4 linked regions of the Arabidopsis thaliana genome follow. The protein of the gene in region 1 interacts with the protein of each later gene in a pairwise test. Each region holds a gene or a part of one and is shown in the gene's direction. Other genes may lie near its edges. The genes, in order: RABA1b, PEX11B, AAP3 and PLC9.

The links.
Region 2: the proteins of RABA1b (region 1) and PEX11B interact in a protein complementation assay, tested with the Arabidopsis thaliana proteins (one large-scale study listed by BioGRID).
Region 3: the proteins of RABA1b (region 1) and AAP3 interact in a protein complementation assay, tested with the Arabidopsis thaliana proteins (one large-scale study listed by BioGRID).
Region 4: the proteins of RABA1b (region 1) and PLC9 interact in a protein complementation assay, tested with the Arabidopsis thaliana proteins (one large-scale study listed by BioGRID).

What each region holds. Positions count from the first base shown.
Region 1 is NC_003070.9:5,786,560-5,791,638, reverse strand, and holds RABA1b (RAB GTPase homolog A1B), read left to right. Parts: upstream 1-2,326; 5' UTR 2,327-2,491; coding exon 2,492-2,712; intron 2,713-3,720; coding exon 3,721-4,150; 3' UTR 4,151-4,480; downstream 4,481-5,079. Other genes in the region: AT1G16930 (F-box/RNI-like/FBD-like domains-containing protein), read right to left, coding at 105-392, 486-626, 732-1,652; AT1G16916 (uncharacterized protein), read left to right, coding at 4,481-4,655, 4,744-4,877. UniProt on the Arabidopsis thaliana protein: Intracellular vesicle trafficking and protein transport.
Region 2 is NC_003074.8:17,478,308-17,482,468, forward strand, and holds PEX11B (peroxin 11B), read left to right. Parts: upstream 1-2,213; 5' UTR 2,214-2,490; coding exon 2,491-2,678; intron 2,679-2,889; coding exon 2,890-3,385; 3' UTR 3,386-3,493; downstream 3,494-4,161. Other genes in the region: TIP5;1 (tonoplast intrinsic protein 5;1), read left to right, coding at 3,747-3,885, 3,965-4,161. UniProt on the Arabidopsis thaliana protein: Involved in peroxisomal proliferation. Promotes peroxisomal duplication, aggregation or elongation without fission.
Region 3 is NC_003070.9:29,074,243-29,079,518, reverse strand, and holds AAP3 (amino acid permease 3), read left to right. Parts: upstream 1-2,128; 5' UTR 2,129-2,266; coding exon 2,267-2,360; intron 2,361-2,510; coding exon 2,511-2,744; intron 2,745-2,828; coding exon 2,829-2,922; intron 2,923-3,028; coding exon 3,029-3,243; intron 3,244-3,336; coding exon 3,337-3,476; intron 3,477-3,567; coding exon 3,568-3,926; intron 3,927-4,023; coding exon 4,024-4,318; 3' UTR 4,319-4,640; downstream 4,641-5,276. Other genes in the region: AT1G77370 (Glutaredoxin family protein), read right to left, coding at 4,877-4,932, 5,027-5,276. UniProt on the Arabidopsis thaliana protein: Amino acid-proton symporter. Stereospecific transporter with a broad specificity for GABA, tryptophan and both neutral and basic amino acids. High affinity transport of cationic amino acids.
Region 4 is NC_003074.8:17,385,893-17,391,577, forward strand, and holds PLC9 (phosphatidylinositol-speciwc phospholipase C9), read left to right. Parts: upstream 1-1,990; 5' UTR 1,991-2,226; coding exon 2,227-2,535; intron 2,536-2,656; coding exon 2,657-2,856; intron 2,857-2,937; coding exon 2,938-3,076; intron 3,077-3,161; coding exon 3,162-3,460; intron 3,461-3,578; coding exon 3,579-3,699; intron 3,700-3,857; coding exon 3,858-4,007; intron 4,008-4,085; coding exon 4,086-4,169; intron 4,170-4,257; coding exon 4,258-4,551; 3' UTR 4,552-5,068; downstream 5,069-5,685. Other genes in the region: AT3G47210 (hypothetical protein (DUF247)), read left to right, coding at 1-1,077. UniProt on the Arabidopsis thaliana protein: The production of the second messenger molecules diacylglycerol (DAG) and inositol 1,4,5-trisphosphate (IP3) is mediated by activated phosphatidylinositol-specific phospholipase C enzymes.

The sequences.
Region 1 (5,079 bases):
ATCCACCAACATGTTACAAAAAAAACAAGCCTTGATTTATCTGTAGATCATCGGATTGGATACAAAACTGGATTTATGAGAGACGGCCTCGTAAGGTGGCTCAATTAATCCATGACAACTTGACAACTCGTAGAGCTTCTTGGAATCGCTTTGATTTCGTCGATGATGTTACAGAAACTCGCACTTACTGTCAGTTTCTTGAGAGCTGCACCATTCTCTAGAAAGTACTTTGCTAATTTCCTCTTACTTGATGTTCCTGTGAGCGGTCTCCCTTCCTTTTGCATGTTAACAACGTATGGAGTCTTCAAATGAACAAACTCAAGAGATGATAGGAAACATTGTGGCACATATGAAAGATCAATCTGCTCTGTGTCTGGAAAGCAATCAAATTCCTGATAATATATAACCGAGGGAAGTTTGAGTTTTTGTTATCAAAAATCTTAATGTGATTTACATGAGGGTAGAAGAAGCAAATGAAAACTCACCATGACGAGTGAGTGTAGATTTGGGAAGCTCTCAAGGAAGGTTGGCAACATTTCCCACCAAGTATCTTCGAAGTAAGCATGCAAGCGAGACAAGTTAGAGAATTGAGGTAGTTGTTCCATTTTGCAGTAATCATGAATAACCTATGCAGCCAAAAAAACAAACAAACATGGGTTCACTGAGAAAATGTGATAAAGCCATAAAGGAAGTGTATAAGCTTAATGTTATTGAATCGAGCATATATATACCTGTAGAGTATCAGAAGATATGACCATTTCGCTGACCGTAGATAACCCAGTGAGGAATTTACCTAGCATAGCTATCTTGGAAGAATCATCTGGTTCCAATGGATCATTATATTCGACATTAAAGATAACATCGATATCTACCTTTGCAAAGGGGCCAATGTTGTGTATTATGAAGCTGTCAGATCGATGATCACAAAGATTCATATACTCAAGTCTTGGAGCATCGATTGTAACAACATGATTTTGACTTTCGTAGCGCTCAGAATCTATCTTGAAGCTTTTTAAAGACTGGGAACGCACACACACAACTTCAAGAGAATCATTGGGATCACGAACTATGGTTAACTCTTCCAAAACTGGACAACCTGATATTAGAATCTCCAGAGTCGAATCAGCATCGTACTTGACCATATCAAGATGCATAATCTTGACACAAGGCAGCGAAACAGATTCCGGATGATCCAAGGCTACGCGGTAGAGCTGTAAGTTCACCAATCTTTCACATGAATAGAGAGATAAAGGCATCTTAACTAACTCGTCATCATCATCCACCTCATTATGAACATTAAAATGACAAACTCTACGCTTAATCACAGCATTGATCCAAGACTTGAAACGAGAAGCATCGTGCTCATTAACCTCATAGATCAACTTGAATCTCTCCAAGTGTTGCTCATTTTCAGAACCCAGAAACCTATTTACGAAACTCACAAAAACATCATCATCTGGGAAGTTATTGGAATCCAAATCCAATACAGGAACATGTAACCAGAGATTTCTCCATCGTTTTGATAAAACGCTTGTGCAAACCGATTCTTTTGTGGAGAGATCTGAGAGAATCTGACATAACAAGGAATCAGGTAAATTGCTTATCCTATCGGAGTTCCTTTGCTTCTCTTTAACAGAGGTTTCATCATCCATGTCGTTTCCTTAAACTCTGAACTATATAGTTTGAGACTGAATCATGTAAATAACAAACTGAAGAATCACGAATCTGTTAGCTAAAAAAGTCAACTCATAAACTCCAGAAAGAATCAAACGATACTGAAATTACCTGTAGTACTTAAGTATTATTTATTCCCAAAGAGATAACGGCGAGAGAGGAAGAATAAGACGAAAGCACCGTCAATTTTCCGGGAAAAGGGAACATAGATCGTCTCGCTTGCTTGTTGACATCTTTGACATCTCTAAGATGCAGACAATAATAGTCAACTCAGGACATTAATCACGTAGTTTTTTTTTACTATCTTTAATATTTACATTGATTACAAATTTTAGCTAGAAAAATAATGTATGTCATGGCGTGAGTCAATTAATAATATAACCAAAGAGAAGTTAAGTTTTTGAGATATGAAATTACATTATTACTAAAAGTTAAAACGTCCTATTTCAAGAAAAAGTTTGTGTTTATATTGTTGTACTTCCCACTTTATTAGAGCTAACTAATCTAGTGATCTTATGGTGATTTAATGATCAAATTTTTAGTCTTCACCCTGCTAATACAGCGAAAACCTGTAAAAAGTAAAAACCTTTTGATATAACAACAGTCACACACGCGCCCAATAGATCAACGGACCAGATCTCGATTACAGTTACAGACTGTCTTGTCACAAGCCGTCACTTTAACACATACACCAATTTCTTCTCAGCGTTATTTCAAATCTCAGTTTACACCTTCACACTGCTGCGTCTCTCTCTCTCTCTCTCTTTCTTTCTCAGATTAATCGCTGAGAAGAAGCAACCACCTGGAGACGGCGGAGATGGCAGGGTACAGAGTGGAAGATGACTACGATTACCTCTTCAAAGTTGTTCTTATAGGCGATTCTGGAGTTGGCAAATCCAATCTCCTTTCCAGATTCACTAAAAACGAGTTCAATCTAGAGTCTAAATCCACCATTGGCGTCGAATTCGCCACTCGTACCTTAAAAGTCGATGGCAAAGTCGTTAAAGCTCAGATTTGGGACACTGCTGGTCAGGAGAGGTTCGTTTTTCGTCTTCCTCGTCTCTTCATTTCGTTCTTCGTCTCTTATTTGTATGTAAAATCGGCCTTCATGCTAGATCTTGGTATTTCACATTGAGTTTCGTGGCGTATTTTCGATTTATTCCTGGGTCAATTGGTCTCGAGTACATTGCAAATAGAAGCCACTGTCCCGGAGATCACTCTAAGCTCCTTTGCTTCCATACTTAGGTTCTCGATCTAGCAGTGGCTTTAAACGAGTTTCCATAGATCTATCGTTTTGGTGACTTTGATAGCGGACACTAGCTTTTTGATTCGTTTGTTTGACTTAATTTGAATTTATGTTACTGTGTTGGAATTGAGCTCTTTAGCCCAATCTATATGTTCTATCAAACAGTTTTGGAGTGAATGGGAGCTTAACATGAAGCTGATCTTATCTTCTCTAGGTCTAGGTTGGTGAGTGGTGACTATTCAATGTGTGATTCATTCACTGGCTTATGTGCTTGTTTTTAGTTTTTTGGTTGTGAATGTGTTCTGTGTTCAGCAGCCTTTTACTAGAGAGTCTCTCCGTTGACTTTTGTACTCAAATATTGCTCGTTTGTCTGAAGTTGACTGCATTTGACCACCATTGACGGATGGAATCTTGAGGTAGCTAATAATGTAGATTAAAAAAAGTGCCCTTCTTCTGAAATAAGTCTTTGGGTTTTGACTCAATATGACCATGATTGCTTTGATGGAATCTGAATTGGATGGATGAACAAGAGCATGCGATTTTTTCTGGTTAATGATCACTAGAATCACGAACACTTGCATAGACTATTGTTAGAATGCTACAAAGGACTTGCTCTGTTTGCTAGTTGAGTTGCCTCCATTGAGACGATTGTTTTACTTCCTTCTTTGACCTACCAATTTAATTATCACTTTTGGCAAAACATAAAAAGCTTATAAGAATTTTCTTCTCTGACACCTTTTGTTCTGTCAACCACTGATTCTCGCCACAATTTGAAGACTCACTTTTGCTTCTCGTCTCAGGTACCGTGCCATCACTAGTGCATATTACCGTGGAGCCGTGGGTGCACTCCTAGTATATGATGTAACTCGCCGTGCAACATTTGAGAACGTAGATCGGTGGTTAAAGGAGCTCAAGAACCACACAGATCCAAACATTGTAGTGATGCTGGTTGGTAACAAATCTGATCTCCGCCACTTGCTAGCTGTTCCTACAGAAGACGGGAAGTCCTATGCGGAACAAGAATCGCTCTGCTTCATGGAAACATCTGCCCTTGAAGCTACCAATGTGGAGGACGCATTTGCAGAGGTGTTGACACAAATTTATCGCATCACAAGCAAGAAGCAAGTGGAAGCTGGTGAAGATGGGAACGCCTCTGTCCCGAAAGGTGAGAAAATCGAAGTTAAAAACGATGTCTCTGCGCTGAAGAAACTCGGGTGCTGCTCAAATTGAAGCCTTTTTTTGTTTTCACTGTTGAGAGAGAATTATAACCCCCATGGTCCATTGTTTGATTATGTCCTTGTTTTGTAACACTATCGACATTTGTATGAGTTTTAGACCATACACTACATAATGTTTATTTAACTTTATTTCAAGAATTGTTGGTGAACCAGGCTCAATATGCATCAGTTAAGCAGAGGAATCTGGATCTAAAATGCCGACGTTCATCTTCGATAGTTGGATCGTCGCTCTCCTTGTCCTCCAGTTTTGATTCTAATTTCCTCTGTCTTTGTAATCTTCAAAATCCAAAACCACAACTTCAGAACCGGGTCGGGTTGCGTTATGTTGTCGGGTTTAGGTCTCATTTTGTCACTAAACTGCAAACGACGCCGTTCCTTTAGAGAAGAAGAAGAAGATAGGAGCGAGCGAGCGAGCGAGCGATTAGAAGAAGAAATGATGGAGGAAGGACCACCAGCTCCAAAGATGCTTCGAATGGTCTACTTCGTCGGCGCCGGATGTAAGTTCGCTTTATGCTGCTTCATATTTTTTTCTATTTTGATCTCGATTGAATCCAACATTCCAATAAAATATAAAATATTTCGCAGTTCTATGTACATTCGCGATCAATAAGTGGCGTGAGATGGAGAGAAACTCGCTTCTGAAACAGGAGCAGGAGAAGAATCAACAAGGAGATGTTGGTTTATTGCCTAGAGATTCGGTTCAGAAAGCTATGAAATGATGATCACTCTCTTCTTCATCTTTTCTTGTAATTTTGTTTTGATCTTGTGATTTTAGTATCGTTGACCTAAAGTTTGCATCTTTTTTTAATGAACCCTAGAAATCTGATACTCGTACTCATTGGTTTCTGGCTTTGTGCTTAATTTAAAGATTGCTGCTTTCTGAACTCAATTTGATCAAAGGGTTTCAATAAGTCACTGCTT
Region 2 (4,161 bases), on another chromosome or scaffold:
TTAGTTTGAACTTTGATGTAAGAGGTCTTTATCAAAGAAAAAACTTTAATGTACGTCTGTTATAAAACAATGGGAATTCAAATTGGAAAAATATTATCCCTAAAAGTTTTGATGAATATATATAAGTTACTTTTAGAATATGGATATGGTAGGATGTGATCATCGCATGATGTACTGGGAGCTGCAAAACGCCATCCAAACCAGCACTCATGGGCATGGCCGCCCACGTGCCACGCCGTTCTTCAACTCTGACGACTCTGAAACTTCTCAAAATCATGGAACTACACAAAGTTGGTGTGATAAGGGCATTTTAGTCAACACAACGAGTTCTCATCTTGGCCCACACACATTACCTCAGAAGTTTTGGAAAACATAAGAAGGGTAGTTACGTAAGTTTAGAGGTCATTATGGAGGGAAATGGCATATTCGCATATACCGAAGGATTATACTTAACGTGCAGTGGATATTCTATCAACTTGTCCGGGCCCATATTGGGGCCCATTTGGTGCCACGTTTTTTGTACGGAACCGCCCGACGTGGTAATAATTGTGGATGTTGTTCTTTAACAGGATCGATCCTTTGATGACGAGGCGACCAATTGTCTTGAATTGATTCTAGCCTTGGGTTCGAACCGACGTGGTGTTATTTGATTATTATATTTGGTTTCAGTGTCATACACTCTACACGAGCCTCCATTTCAAATTTAATAACAAATCTTTGTTAGGTCATATTGTCTAGCTAATATAACAATGCGACTAGCAGAATGTATGTACTACATAATCAGATTTTATATATTCTTGATAATCTCTTACAGATTTTTTATAACAACTGATTATATGTAATATATGAGTTTAGTGTCAAAGAAAATTATGATAATATTTTTAGAATCTTGAAAAATTAATAACAAGTTATTTACGTATGGCTGTGGCTGCTTCATTAGTCATTACGTTAGTCTTTTGAAATTTTCATGACCACAAGAAAATATTTCTTCCGGTTTTGAGATTTTTCGTAACAAACAAAATTGAATAATCGATGTACATCACTAACTTCTACGTGGCTTGTGACCAAGACAAATGACTGTATAAAGAAAAGAAGTCGTCGTTAGGGGGAACTCATTTTTTATATTTCTAGGGCTGATATTTGATTTGACAAAAAATATTGTCCAATTATATGAAAAAGTATTACTTAACAATTCTTCTAACCATTATAATGAAAACATTTCTAGGGCTGATATTTTAGTTTTTTGTAAGAAAATCATGAAATGCATTTTGTTTTGTTTGTTTTATTACATGGGCCAAGATATGAACTCTCAATTTCCAAATACAGAGACAGCTGAAGATCAAAGGATAAGGAGTATTTTCTTTTTCTGTATACGTTTCTTGGTTTCATATGAACAAAATTGATTATGAGAAAAAGAAACAACCATTAGAAATATTTATTTTATCTAGCTATCTTCAATTATTTTGCCTAACTTGATGTGTCCTTTAGGCTTTAAAAAAAAAACTTGATGTGTCCTTTTAAGTGACACATCAATGAACCATATGTATAGTCTCTTGTTGTTTTATAAAGATCGATTGAATTTGATTTTCCTCTCTATCTATACGTTTTTGTTTGTTTAAAAATGTCAAAAATTTGGGTATCCAGGATGTTCGAACGCAGGACACGTATGAAGTGACGTCTTTCACCGCCGTAAATCTTTGGATTGACAGTCCGGTAAAAACAGATTAATAGCTTGATAGTCCAAAACGCACGTATAAAAGTTTTTGCATGTTGAAAATATTCGTATCCACACAACATTAGAGATCAATCATGAAACCGATATATTGAAGGTCACCCGACGTCAAATTTCCCCTGAAAGGGACACCTCAAAATTACGTGGTTCGTGTAATCTTTTTTCCTTTAAGATAGGGATCGGATTATGCAGTATAAAATTAAGCAAATCGTATTTGGTGATATATCGGTTCTAATGCATAACATCTTTTATATTCACACAATGAAATAGCTATTTGTTTTCAGTTTCGAGCTAAAGCCCAAGCTCCAGCCCAAATCAAACCCATTTGTACAAAGAACCTCACTCATCTATTTGTGCACAAATTCTCGGATTTCTCCAACGCTCTCAATCATTTTATAAAAATTAGAATTATCTTCAATCTCGATATACGAACCTAAATAATTGAAAACATTTTTTTTCTTTTTATGTATTTTTCTTTTTTATCAAATTTCTTTTTATGTATATAAAATATTTGTGAAAGTTTCTTCCACACATATAAAAGATTAAATTTCTTTTTTTATCCCAAGCTTGAATATCAAAACATGAGACAACAAGAGCAAGTATTAGCCACCACAAAGCAATCATCTTAAAACTCAAACCCCAAAACAAACAAAAGACAAAACCCGATTGTTTCGAGCACAAACGTCACTTGTGGTTTACATCGTCTTCATCATCTCCATAACTTCATATCTCCTCTCCTTCCGCTGCCACCGTTAGCGATGTCTTTGGACACTGTGGACAAACTGGTGGTGTTCTTGGCCAAGAGAGACGGAATAGACAAGCTTGTGAAGACATTCCAATACGTGGCCAAGCTCGCGTGCTGGCATGTTGAAGCCACACGACCCGAAGCCGCCGATAGGTTCAAGAAGTGGGAGGTCGCCTCCGGTCTCAGCCGCAAAGCCTTCAGGTCCCACATCTTTTTAATATTAATCACTTTATCGACAAAGTGGCATCATCGTAAATATAGTTTAATAGATGAAATGAAATGAAATGTTTTAGTCACTTCTTGATTAATATCTTATCTCATCTAGCATATTTGAATAGTGACTAGTACGATACACTTTATATTACAAGAAAAATATAATTGAATAGTGATTATGGTCGAATTATGCGAACAGGACCGGGAGATCTCTCACGGGGTTCAATGCGCTGAGACGAAACCCCGGGGCAACCCCGATGATCCGTTTCTTGGCGGTCCTAGCCAATTCAGGGGAAATGGTTTACTTCTTCTTTGATCATTTTCTTTGGTTATCAAGAATTGGTTCAATAGACGCCAAGCTCGCCAAGAAAATGAGTTTCATATCCGCTTTTGGCGAATCTTTCGGCTACACTTTCTTCATCATCATTGATTGCATCTTCATAAAGCAAAGACTCAAATCCTTAAAAAAGCTCCAGCATTCGACCGATGAACCGAAAGAAGAAATCGGCGCCAAAATTAGCGAGATTCGGGGAGATATAGTAATGAGGTTGATGGGAATTTCAGCCAACGTTGCGGATTTACTTATAGCATTGGCAGAAATTCACCCAAACCCCTTTTGTAACCACACCATTACACTCGGTATAAGCGGTTTAGTTTCAGCTTGGGCCGGTTGGTATAGGAACTGGCCATCGTGAGATGTAATAAAATCAAATGTTTGTTGTTTTGAATGAACGTATCAAACGTGTAATGTAACTCACTTGAATATATGAAACATTTCTATTTTACATTATCTATAGTCAAATCGAAATCAAACAAAACTAAGGGTATACAAAAGTATAATCCACATACGTGGGGGACATTTATGAAATTCATAAAACTTGGTAACTGTAAAATAGTAACTTCCCACTCTCTCACCCTCTTCACTGGGACGGTTATTTTTTTTTTTAAATTCATTTGCATCAAAAGTCGTTACCTTCCAGTAATATTTATAGATTTATAACGATGCAATACTCACTAAAGAAACAGAAACAGAGATAATTTTTTCGAAAGAAATTGATGAGAAGAATGATTCCAACATCGTTTTCAAGTAAGTTTCAAGGAGTACTAAGTATGAATGCGTTGAGATGTTATGTATCAGAGTTTATCTCAACCTTCTTCTTCGTCCTCGCAGCCGTTGGTTCTGTCATGTCTTCAAGTAATTACTCTGTTTCTTGATGAGTTTGATCCTTTTTTGCAATAAGAAGAAATTGTTAACCTGTGTTTTTTCTTATCAGGGAAATTGATGGCTGGTGATGTGTCTGGTCCGTTTGGTGTTTTAATACCGGCGATTGCTAATGCGTTGGCGTTATCATCGTCAGTTTACATCTCTTGGAACGTCTCTGGTGGTCATGTGAATCCAGCGGTTACGTTTGCGATGGCTGTTGCTGGTCGGATTAGCGTTCCAACCGCTATGTTTTATTGGACTTCTCAG
Region 3 (5,276 bases), about 23 Mb from region 1:
CTTTTATTTAAATACTACTAATTACAGTACATTATCTAAATAGAAACCTAACTGATAATAGTAAGCAACGAATCCGATGCTCCTCTTTCTCTAAATTCGAATGCGATAAATCGCGGCGTCTGAAAAGTGAAAAGGGAGAATGTAAGTGTTAGGAGGATATAGTACTCATGGCGATGTATACTCTTACAAAGATAATAAAAATAATAATGAAGATAACACTTAATAAGGGATCAAGTTGAAGAAAGTGCAGTTGCTATGATGAAAGGCGTTTCTCATTCATTCTTTTAATTCGTTAATCGACATTGAGGATGGCTGTGTGTGTATTGTGTGCGCTTAAATCAAGTGGATGATCTTAACCAAAGAACCATATTCTTTTTCATGATCTCCTAGATCTTTGTTATTACTTTTAATTATCTTTCAATGTAAACATGGAAAAAAAAATAAAAAAACTGGTACATTTTGTATGCATTTTTGCGGTTATAAACTTTGGAATTGTAAAGAATGAACTAGATTTTAACCCGCGGTACACCGCGGAGACAATTTATTTTTTTAAATTAGTATATATAAAATTTTACAAATTATGTCTATCTATAAAATATTTTTATTTTATAGTTTATAATTGTTATTAAGTAACGTCCTTCTAAACCCGTTCCACCAAACTCGTCCTGTAAAAATAAACCGCGGTACCCCGCTAATTTAAATTTATAATTAAAATAAATATTTTACGGGATTGCAATTGTGTTTTAGTTTGTCAAACAAAATTTTGTTTTAAATAGTTGTCGAAATGTAGTTCAAATTTTGGAGACATAAGATTTAGTGAATAGATAAGAAATATATTTAGTTGCGTTTCGCTCATTTTAAGGGATTGCAATTGTCTTTTGGGTTGTCAAACATTTTTTGTTTTAAATAGTTGTCGAAATCTATTTCAAATTTTGGAAAAATCTGCGTGATATATGGGATTGGAATATATTTCGAATGTTTTTTTATTTGTTAATCAATTTATTGCTAAAAAAACAATAATTAAAAGCCAATGGTAGCCATTGTAAATAAATTCCAACTCCAGGATTTATTTCACAAAATGACTGCAACAATGTATATATAGATTCTATTTTTATGAATATAATTCCCTTTATATTTGGAGACTATTTCCTTTGAATGATGACTTGTCTGAATACAAATCTTCTCGTAAGTCCTTAAAGGATATTTGGTTTCCCACGAATCAAGCCAATACAAGTTTGTGTATGTCATTTATGTTTAAATGAGTTTAGTTGGCAAAGTAATCAAAATATTTCATTTCGAGAAGAACATATAGCTTACACGCCTCATAAGTTAGTTACCTACAGAAACTTATATGGTGGGGTGATATACTTTCGGATTCTAGGTAAGATATAGTATATGTGCGTTACTATTGCTCATACTATAAAAATCACCTTTTGGTTTTGAGTTATCATTTTGAAATCTACACATGATTGCGTGTACTCATTATTTAAAGTCGGCATAGATTTCTCCATATATATGTCATGATTCCATGAATGTTCTTTTAACATCTTAATGCGATAACACTTTACATTGAAATATTCAAGAAAAAACCAAGCTGTTTTCTAAATAAATTTAGTTTGTCCACGGTTAATAAAATTTAAAATTAGCGAAATACGTAAATAATCAAATGATATAACCAAAATGCCTATTATTTTTAAAACAACATTTTATTTTCTCTAATCTCATAAAATACTCTAATAAAATCTAGTTGTAAGTGAAAATAACACTAAGCTTCAAACACACACGTACATGAATGTTTGTTTTTTTCTTTCAAAAAAGCTGAACAATGACATTTTAAGTCCAAATGAAAACGATGGTATCATCTTGGACTTCCAATTTTCCATTGCCCATATTTTCTCTTTTCTTTTGTTTTTATCCAATTGGTATCGAATCATTCATATAAAATTATAAATCATGAAGTCAAATTTTTCAATAGTAACACTTGAGTAATAGTGGTCCTACCAACTTTTTACCAAGACAGATATATTTTTTTTAATACACTTTTTACCTTTTACTGTGTTTGCCTCAAATGAGTGTTTTTACCAGTTTCTGTGTATATAAATCTGCACTCCACTCTCAGTTTATCTTCATCCACAAGACAGTTCTTTAACAAAGTCATTAAACATTTCCCTTACCTTCTAAAGATCAACTCTTTCAAACACTTACTCTGCATGTAACTTCATAGATTGAACGAAGAACCAAAAAAACAGAGCAAAACAAACAAAAGATGGTTCAAAACCACCAAACAGTTCTCGCCGTCGATATGCCACAAACCGGCGGCTCCAAGTACTTGGACGACGACGGGAAAAACAAAAGAACTGGTAACAATGTTTCTCTCTTTCTCTTTAATTCATATTGAGACTTGGTTCTCTAATTATTCAAAAAAATATTAATTTGAACTCGAAACCTGCTCTGATTTAGTTATGTTGAAAAAACGAGAAAGTTGAAAGTTTTTAAATTTTGGGTTTTAGGGAGTGTTTGGACGGCGAGTGCACACATAATAACGGCAGTGATAGGTTCGGGAGTTTTGTCACTAGCGTGGGCTACGGCGCAGCTAGGTTGGCTCGCCGGACCGGTGGTGATGTTGCTCTTCTCTGCCGTCACTTATTTCACTTCTTCTCTTCTTGCTGCTTGTTACCGCTCCGGCGACCCTATCTCCGGCAAGAGGAACTACACTTATATGGATGCTGTCCGATCAAATCTCGGTAAATACAAAACTTCAAAGTAGAAATCGGACAATGGAGATCAGATCAGAACAGAGCATTAACATTTTTCATTGTTCTGTATAGGTGGCGTGAAGGTGACGCTATGTGGGATTGTTCAGTATCTTAATATCTTTGGTGTTGCTATTGGCTACACAATTGCTTCAGCTATAAGCATGATGTGAGTGTTCTCACTAATTAACTCTTAAAACTACGAAGTTAGGTAATGGACCAAATAGGTTTTGATGATAATAAAAAATAAACAAAATTTTGTTTTTGAAAAACAGGGCAATAAAGAGATCAAACTGTTTCCACAAGAGTGGAGGGAAAGATCCATGTCACATGAACAGTAATCCTTACATGATAGCTTTTGGATTAGTCCAGATTCTATTCTCTCAGATTCCAGATTTTGATCAACTTTGGTGGCTCTCAATCCTCGCCGCCGTTATGTCCTTCACTTATTCCTCAGCCGGTCTCGCCCTCGGCATAGCCCAAGTTGTCGGTTCGTTTCTTGAACCATAAAGCTTCTAGGGTCTTAAATAAGAACTTTCATAGGTAAAAAACTAATAGGTTTTATGTGTTTTGGTTTCATCAGTTAATGGGAAGGTGAAGGGAAGTCTCACTGGGATTAGCATAGGAGCAGTAACAGAGACACAGAAGATATGGAGGACCTTTCAAGCTCTTGGAGACATTGCTTTTGCTTACTCTTACTCCATTATCCTCATCGAGATTCAGGTACTTATACCTTCTTTACAAGTCTTGATGATCAAAGCCATTAATTACTGGTCCCATCATGAAGCTTTTTTTATTCTGGGATCTGAAACAGGACACAGTGAAGTCACCACCATCAGAAGAGAAGACGATGAAGAAGGCAACACTTGTGAGCGTCAGTGTAACGACTATGTTCTATATGTTGTGTGGATGTATGGGATATGCAGCCTTTGGAGACTTGTCTCCGGGAAATCTCTTAACCGGTTTCGGGTTTTATAATCCTTATTGGCTTCTTGACATTGCAAATGCAGCCATTGTGATTCACCTTATTGGTGCATACCAAGTCTATTGCCAACCTCTGTTTGCTTTCATCGAGAAGCAAGCTTCCATTCAATTCCCTGATAGTGAGTTCATTGCAAAAGATATCAAAATTCCAATTCCTGGTTTCAAGCCTCTCCGCTTGAATGTCTTCAGGTACAAATCTTGCCTTTAAACTAATGGGATCTGAGTTTTAAACATGATGTGTATGTAATAATCAAAGCTTCTGTGTGGCGTGGAATGGCTTACTCAGGTTGATATGGAGGACAGTGTTTGTGATCATAACGACAGTTATCTCAATGCTTCTTCCGTTTTTCAACGACGTTGTGGGTCTGCTCGGGGCACTAGGGTTTTGGCCATTGACGGTGTATTTTCCAGTGGAAATGTACATCGCGCAGAAGAAGATACCTAGATGGAGCACCAGATGGGTTTGCCTTCAAGTCTTCAGCTTAGGGTGTCTAGTAGTTAGCATTGCTGCAGCTGCAGGGTCCATAGCTGGAGTACTTCTTGATCTAAAGTCCTACAAGCCATTTCGAAGCGAATACTGATCAACTTGAATAGTAGCCAATTCAAAGCGATGACTAAGTCAGTTTTAAACACAATGGATTTATCAAGAACAGTCAAGAGAACCAAGAACCATGAATTTGGGAATTTTGATCAGCTTTTTTTTATATAGATAGAAGCAATAATGCTGTTAGTTCTTCTCTATAATCTTCTCTGTACCCTGAAGGCAAGAATTGTAGTCCTAATGAGTAAATCTTCGATTAATGACAGAGTCATGTGCTGCAACAGAATCATGAACTAGCACCATAATAGTATATTACCATTGTGGTAAAATTTCAATAACAAGTTCTTGTACTTGCTCTTCTTTCCATGATCTGATATTTGCCGTATGAACCATTCACTAAGGCACACAAGTATGGATTATTTAAGCGAAACAATCACCAGAGCAGTGCAGTAACAAAAGATCAAGACTTTATCAATGCCATCATAACTTACATAACTGAGTCATACATATCAATTCGCTTATTCAGTCTACAACTAGCAAAGATTTCTAATTCCTGTAAATCACATACTGTAGATTCCACATTCGAGGTCCTCAAATATCAACTTGCAGCAAGAAGCTTTTGCAACTGACCACTCTCCAAAGCAGCTCCAAGATCTGAAGCAACAAGATAAACAGCCAAGGCTTGTGAGTTACAAGGGAAATTTGGACAAAAGAATGAAACTTGGAGGAGATAGTGAGCTCATCATACCATCTGATCCACCAATATGCTTGCCGTTAACAAAAACTTGCGGGACAGTACGACGACCAACGAATTCTAAAAGCTCATACTGGATTTGATCTCCGTCCTCTGCAAAAACAAATCTCTCAGAAGTTTTAAGAAACAGTTCAATTCTCATAAACAGTTGGGTGAGAAAGAAAGTGATACCTCTCTGATCAAGCTCCACAACAAATGGCTCTTCCTTAAGTTGGCTGAATATACGTTTCGACCGCAAACAATA
Region 4 (5,685 bases), on another chromosome or scaffold:
ATTGGTCCTTACCATCACGGGAGAAAACACCTCGAAATGATTCAACAGCACAAGCTTCGGTTTCTACACCTTTTCTTACGCACGGCAAGCGTGGATAGAGATGTCTTGTTTAACGCTGTAGTGGATTGGGAAGATGAGATAAGGAAATCTTATTCTGAGGGTCTTGAGGGAAGTCCACATGAACTAGTGTATATGATGATTCTTGATGGGTGCTTCATTCTCATGTTGTTACTTATCGTGTCAAGAAAGATAGAATTGTATGAGAGTGAGGATCCAATTCTCACCATCCCATGGATTCTTCCGTCTATTCAGAGTGATCTCCTCCTCTTGGAAAACCAGGTCCCTTTCTTTGTTCTTCAAACTTTATTTGACAAATCAGAGATAGGTGTACCTGGTGATCTAAACAGGATGGCTTTTAGCTTCTTCAACCTCTCAATGGATAAACCAGAAAGATATTGGGTCAAACACAGAAACTTCAACGCAAAACATCTTCTTGACCTCATTCGTATGAGCTTCTTACCTATGGATGGATACGAAGATTTCCAACTCACTAAGGGTAAATCTAGAAAGAAATCATCCTCCGGTCTTACATTGCTATTGTCGGCTACAAGACTTTCTCTCCAAGGAATAGATTTCAGTTTAAGGAGTGGTGCAGATTCGATGTTAGATATAAGGTTAAAGAAGAACAGGCTTCAAATACCAGTGTTAAGATTGGATGGGTTCATTATCTCAATCTTGCTCAATTGCGTCGCCTTTGAACAATTTTACGCAAAGAGTACCAACCACATAACAAGCTATGTGGTTTTCATGGGATGCCTTCTAAACGGCAAGGAAGATGCCACATTCTTAAGTCGTCGCCGGATCATAGAGAACTACTTTGGCAGCGAGAAGGAGGTATCAAAGTTCTTCAAAACTATATGTAAAGATGTAGTGTTTGACATACATGCAAGTTATTTACGGAATGTGTTTGTGGAAATTAACGAGAACACCTCAAAATGGTACTCAATATGTCGAAGTTTTTTACTGTCACCAAGAAATTTTGTGGCATTGCGCTTTCGTCCAATTTATCGATTCTAAATACCATTCTTCTACCTTAGCAACAGCAACAGCAAAACCGCATGATGGAACGTCCTCCAGGCAAAGCAAACATGCTCGAGCTTATGTAGAAACAATGGAATTAAAGTCGTTTTTATCTTCTACAGAAACATCATTGTTCCCTGTTTTTTATCAGTTGTGTAACTTGTGTTATTGCTATCTTTTTCGTTTTATGATGTTATCCTATATATGTATTTAAGTATTTTGTTACTCTTGTTAATTTGCATGAAATAAAGCTTTTCTACTTTCCTTTGATGAAATAAATTTGACTTTGCTTTGTCTTCTCGATTATCTTGCGCTATGAGAAGTCTTGAACTTGTCATGCAGCTGCCCTGACTTAGGGTGAACGGGATATAACTTCATGCTAATTTTCAGTGAAGTCCAAAACTTTATCGAAGTCGAGTCTCTATTTTTCTTATATCAAAATTCATCATTTTCATTTTATAAAGAGAGAGTTGTTGCATTTGATTTGAATATAGGACAAAAAAACTCATTTTTTTAGTGAAATGGATTTGAACGATAACCTTTTTAATTTAACTTAATTTTAATCGATAATTATTATTAATATATAATCATAAAACATATACACAAAAGAAAATAAAAGTAAAAGTGGTAAACAAGCCAACTAGGATGTTGATGATTACTATGTAATAAAATGGTAAAGTATGATACATGTTGATATTTACTAAACAAAATTATTGATTACATATTGAATTAATAGATAGATAAAAGAAAAGATTAGGTGAAGTGTTAAAAAAATAAAATCATAGTACATAGTCTAAAACAACTGGCACATTATTAAAAAAACTACGTACAAACCAATCAAAACAAAAAGTTAATAATACACATCATGTTCCCACGGTGACGTTCCAACAGAAACACATGAGCCCAACGCATAAACAAAACAAAAAAAAAGACAAACCAATGAAACCAATTTTAACTATTTAAATTTCAAAAAGAAAAGAAAAAACACTTGAGGGTCAATGATGTAAGGAGAAAATGGGTTAGCAATTATCCATTGGATCTATGCTTGCTTGTACCTCACAAACCGCAAAATCTTTCTTGAAGTCGTCTTAGGTTGACCAACTAAAAAAAGCGAGGGATACTTTGGTTTCGTCCATTTTTCACAATATGGTGAATTTAAGAAAGAAGTTTGAGATGAAACAGGCGAATCAGCCGGGTCGCGTCCCAAATTATTTCAGGAATAAATATCATGGATATGATGACGATATGCCGAATTTGCTACCTACGTTCATCAAATTGTTGGATACTGAGAAGGACGAAGACGGTGCCGGCTTGAACGCTGCAGAGCAAATCGATAGGGAGTTAAAAAGCCGAAAATGTGATATTCTTAAGTTCCGCAACTTGACGATTCTCGAGCTTCCTCACTTGAACGAGTTTCTGTTTTCTACGGAGCTCAATCCCCCGATCAGTGACCAGGTGATATTTCTTTCTTTTTTTTCTGTTCCAAAATTAACCAAAGAAATAGGTTGGTCGTTACTTCTGGTTTGTTTTTGGAAATAAGAACACATTTTGTAAGAGTTAGGTTTCTGTTCTTCAGGTTCGTCATCGTGACATGAATGCTCCACTATCGCATTACTTCATTCACACTAGCCTCAAATCCTACTTTACGGGAAATAATGTCTTTGGGAGATTATACAGCATTGAGCCCATCATTGATGCACTTAAACAAGGTGTGAGAGTGGTTGAACTAGATCTTTTGCCTTTTGGTAAAGACGGCATATGCGTTAGGCCAAAATGGTATATTCTGTTCTGCCTCTTTACTTCATGAAAACTTATACAGCTTGCTTTGAGCTTCTGGTTTAATTATGAACTTGATAGGAACTTTGAAAAGCCTCTAGAATTGCAAGAGTGTTTGGATGCTATCAAACAGCATGCCTTTACCCCCACGAGGAGTTATCCCGTGATAATTACGATCAAGGACAGCTTGAAACCGGATCTTCAATCCAAAGTTACTCAGGTTTATAATGTTCTTTTTCTCCTCGTTTTTCTCATATTATTACGTATTCTAATTCTTTTGGTATGATATATTGTTGCATATGTAGATGATAGATCAGACATTTGGTGATATGGTATACCACGAAGACCCCCAACAAAGCTTGGAGGAATTTCCTTCACCAGCAGAACTACAAAATAAGATATTAATATCACGAAGACCACCAACAAAATTGTTATATGCTAAAGCCGTTGAGAATGGGGTTGAGCTTGAGATACAAGAGGGGTCAACAGATAAGAATTACCAGAGTGTTGTTGGCTTTCATGCAGTGGAACCAAGAGGCATGCTACAAAAAGCATTAACAGACGACGTCCAACAACCAGGATGGTACGAAAGAGATGTTATAAGGTATTGTTGAGTTAAATAAGTTTATACTACATACCAAAACCCTTACTCAACATGTTGAGAGTAGTTGCCTCTCAAATACTAAAATATAACTGATTAGGAAATTCTTGACAATAAACAGCTTCACCCAAAATAAATTCTTGCGGACACGTCCAAAAAAACGCAACTTGTTGAGCAACCCCCCTTATAAACCTCAGAGAGCTTGGATGCACGGTGCACAAATGATTGCACTAAGCAGGCAGGTGTGACTCTAAACGTTTCTTTCTCTCTCTCTCTCTCTCTCTCTCTTTATCTGGTTTCTCTTGCTCATAACCAGTACTGGTTGCACAAGCATGTACGCATTGTGTGGAGAGCTTACCTATTGGAATCAGTTTCATGAATACATTATGTTGTACTACAGGACGACAAAGAAAAACTTTGGTTGATGCAAGGGATGTTTAGAGCAAATGGAGGGTGCGGTTACGTCAAGAAGCCGAATTTCCTTTTGAATGCAGGTTCTAGTGGAGTTTTCTATCCAACAGAGAATCCAGTGGTGGTGAAGACATTAAAGGTTTGTTTGTCATCCTACAACAATTATACTATGGTTCTATTTCTCACTTAGGATGGGTGATGACATTATATCTTGCAGGTCAAAATCTACATGGGAGATGGATGGATTGTGGACTTCAAGAAGCGGATAGGTCGACTGTCTAAGCCGGACTTATACGTTAGGGTACAAAAATCTAAATCAGGAGATGATACTTTAATTTCTTGGGTATGGAAATGAGTTTGATTTTGGTTCTTTAATCGCAAATGCACAGATCAGTATTGCCGGTGTACCCCATGATGAGAAGATTATGAACACGACAGTGAAAAACAACGAATGGAAACCTACTTGGGGAGAAGAATTCACATTTCCCTTGACCTATCCTGACCTTGCTTTGATTAGTTTTGAAGTTTATGACTACGAAGTATCAACTCCAGATTATTTTTGTGGTCAGACTTGTCTACCGGTTTCTGAACTAATAGAAGGAATTCGTGCTGTTCCGCTCTATGATGAGCGAGGTAAGGCATGCAGCTCGACAATGCTGCTCACACGTTTTAAGTGGTCTTAGCGTACAAGTTTCTTTCTCATTACCAAGTGGCGGCTCTTGATCTAGTGGTGTTTCTTAAAACCTTTCAAAGTTACGCTTTCTAGGACCCCTAGTTCAAGTTCCACCTGGAAGGGGGAAAGGGTTTAGGCAAGCTTAGATTGTGATACGGAAATAAGGTATTTGGTCCAGAAAAACTTGGCATTGGCATTTTACTTTGGAGACGAAAATAAAGTTTTCTCTTTTTCCTGTTATTTGTTGTCACTTCAAGTTTCTTTCACTTTTATTTTTGAATTTCTTTTACTGAATTACTGTCTTTTTATTTCAAAAACTATTTTTCATTCTTCTGCAAGTTCTTCTCGAGCTTGGTTCAAAACATATACATTTTTTTGGGGGGCATACTTTCTTAGGTTCAGCCGTTCAGGGTAACAACTTTTGATGGAACTGAAACTTAGTGATGAAGTAAATTAGTCATTCTTCATTTTGTGGTCATGTTAAAAATATATTTGTAAAAGTAAAAATAAAAGCGGATCTAGTTCCGAGTACTCCAGCCTCCAGGTATCCTATTTTTCATAGCAGATCTTATTTGGTCTATTGGTTTTGGATTTTTTTCATAGTGGATCTAGTTCCAACATTGACAAATGTGGTGACAATGCTAGGCCACATGTCACTATTTGCTTGGTCATCTTCTGACCGTTAAGTTTTCATCATCTAGTGACTTTCTCGTTTTATGTCACATTGTTTTCCATTTTCCTAGATTATACGTAAAACTCGTGACTTTACCTCGGTCTTATCATTCATCAGAGTTTAAAAATAGTCACCGGCGATCTTTAATCGGAGAAATGTAGATTAAATAAACTTTAAGCTATAAGATTTTGCATTGTCAATGCAAACTAGAATATTGATATAATTAAATTCTTTAGACCAACAAAAACCACCAATGAAGTAAGAGTAATGATCCAATAAAATGATGTCGTACCTGAAAGACTCAAAGCTTGGGATAAGAACAAGAAAGTGCAAGAAGATGAGAGAGAGAAGCAAGAGGATAAGTAAAGAGTCAACGTTGGAAAAGGCTTAGACAGGAAGACGACTAAGAAGACATCGTCTAGCTCATTTCAATGAAATTGAAAAGGAGAACCAAAAGGAGGCTGATGACAT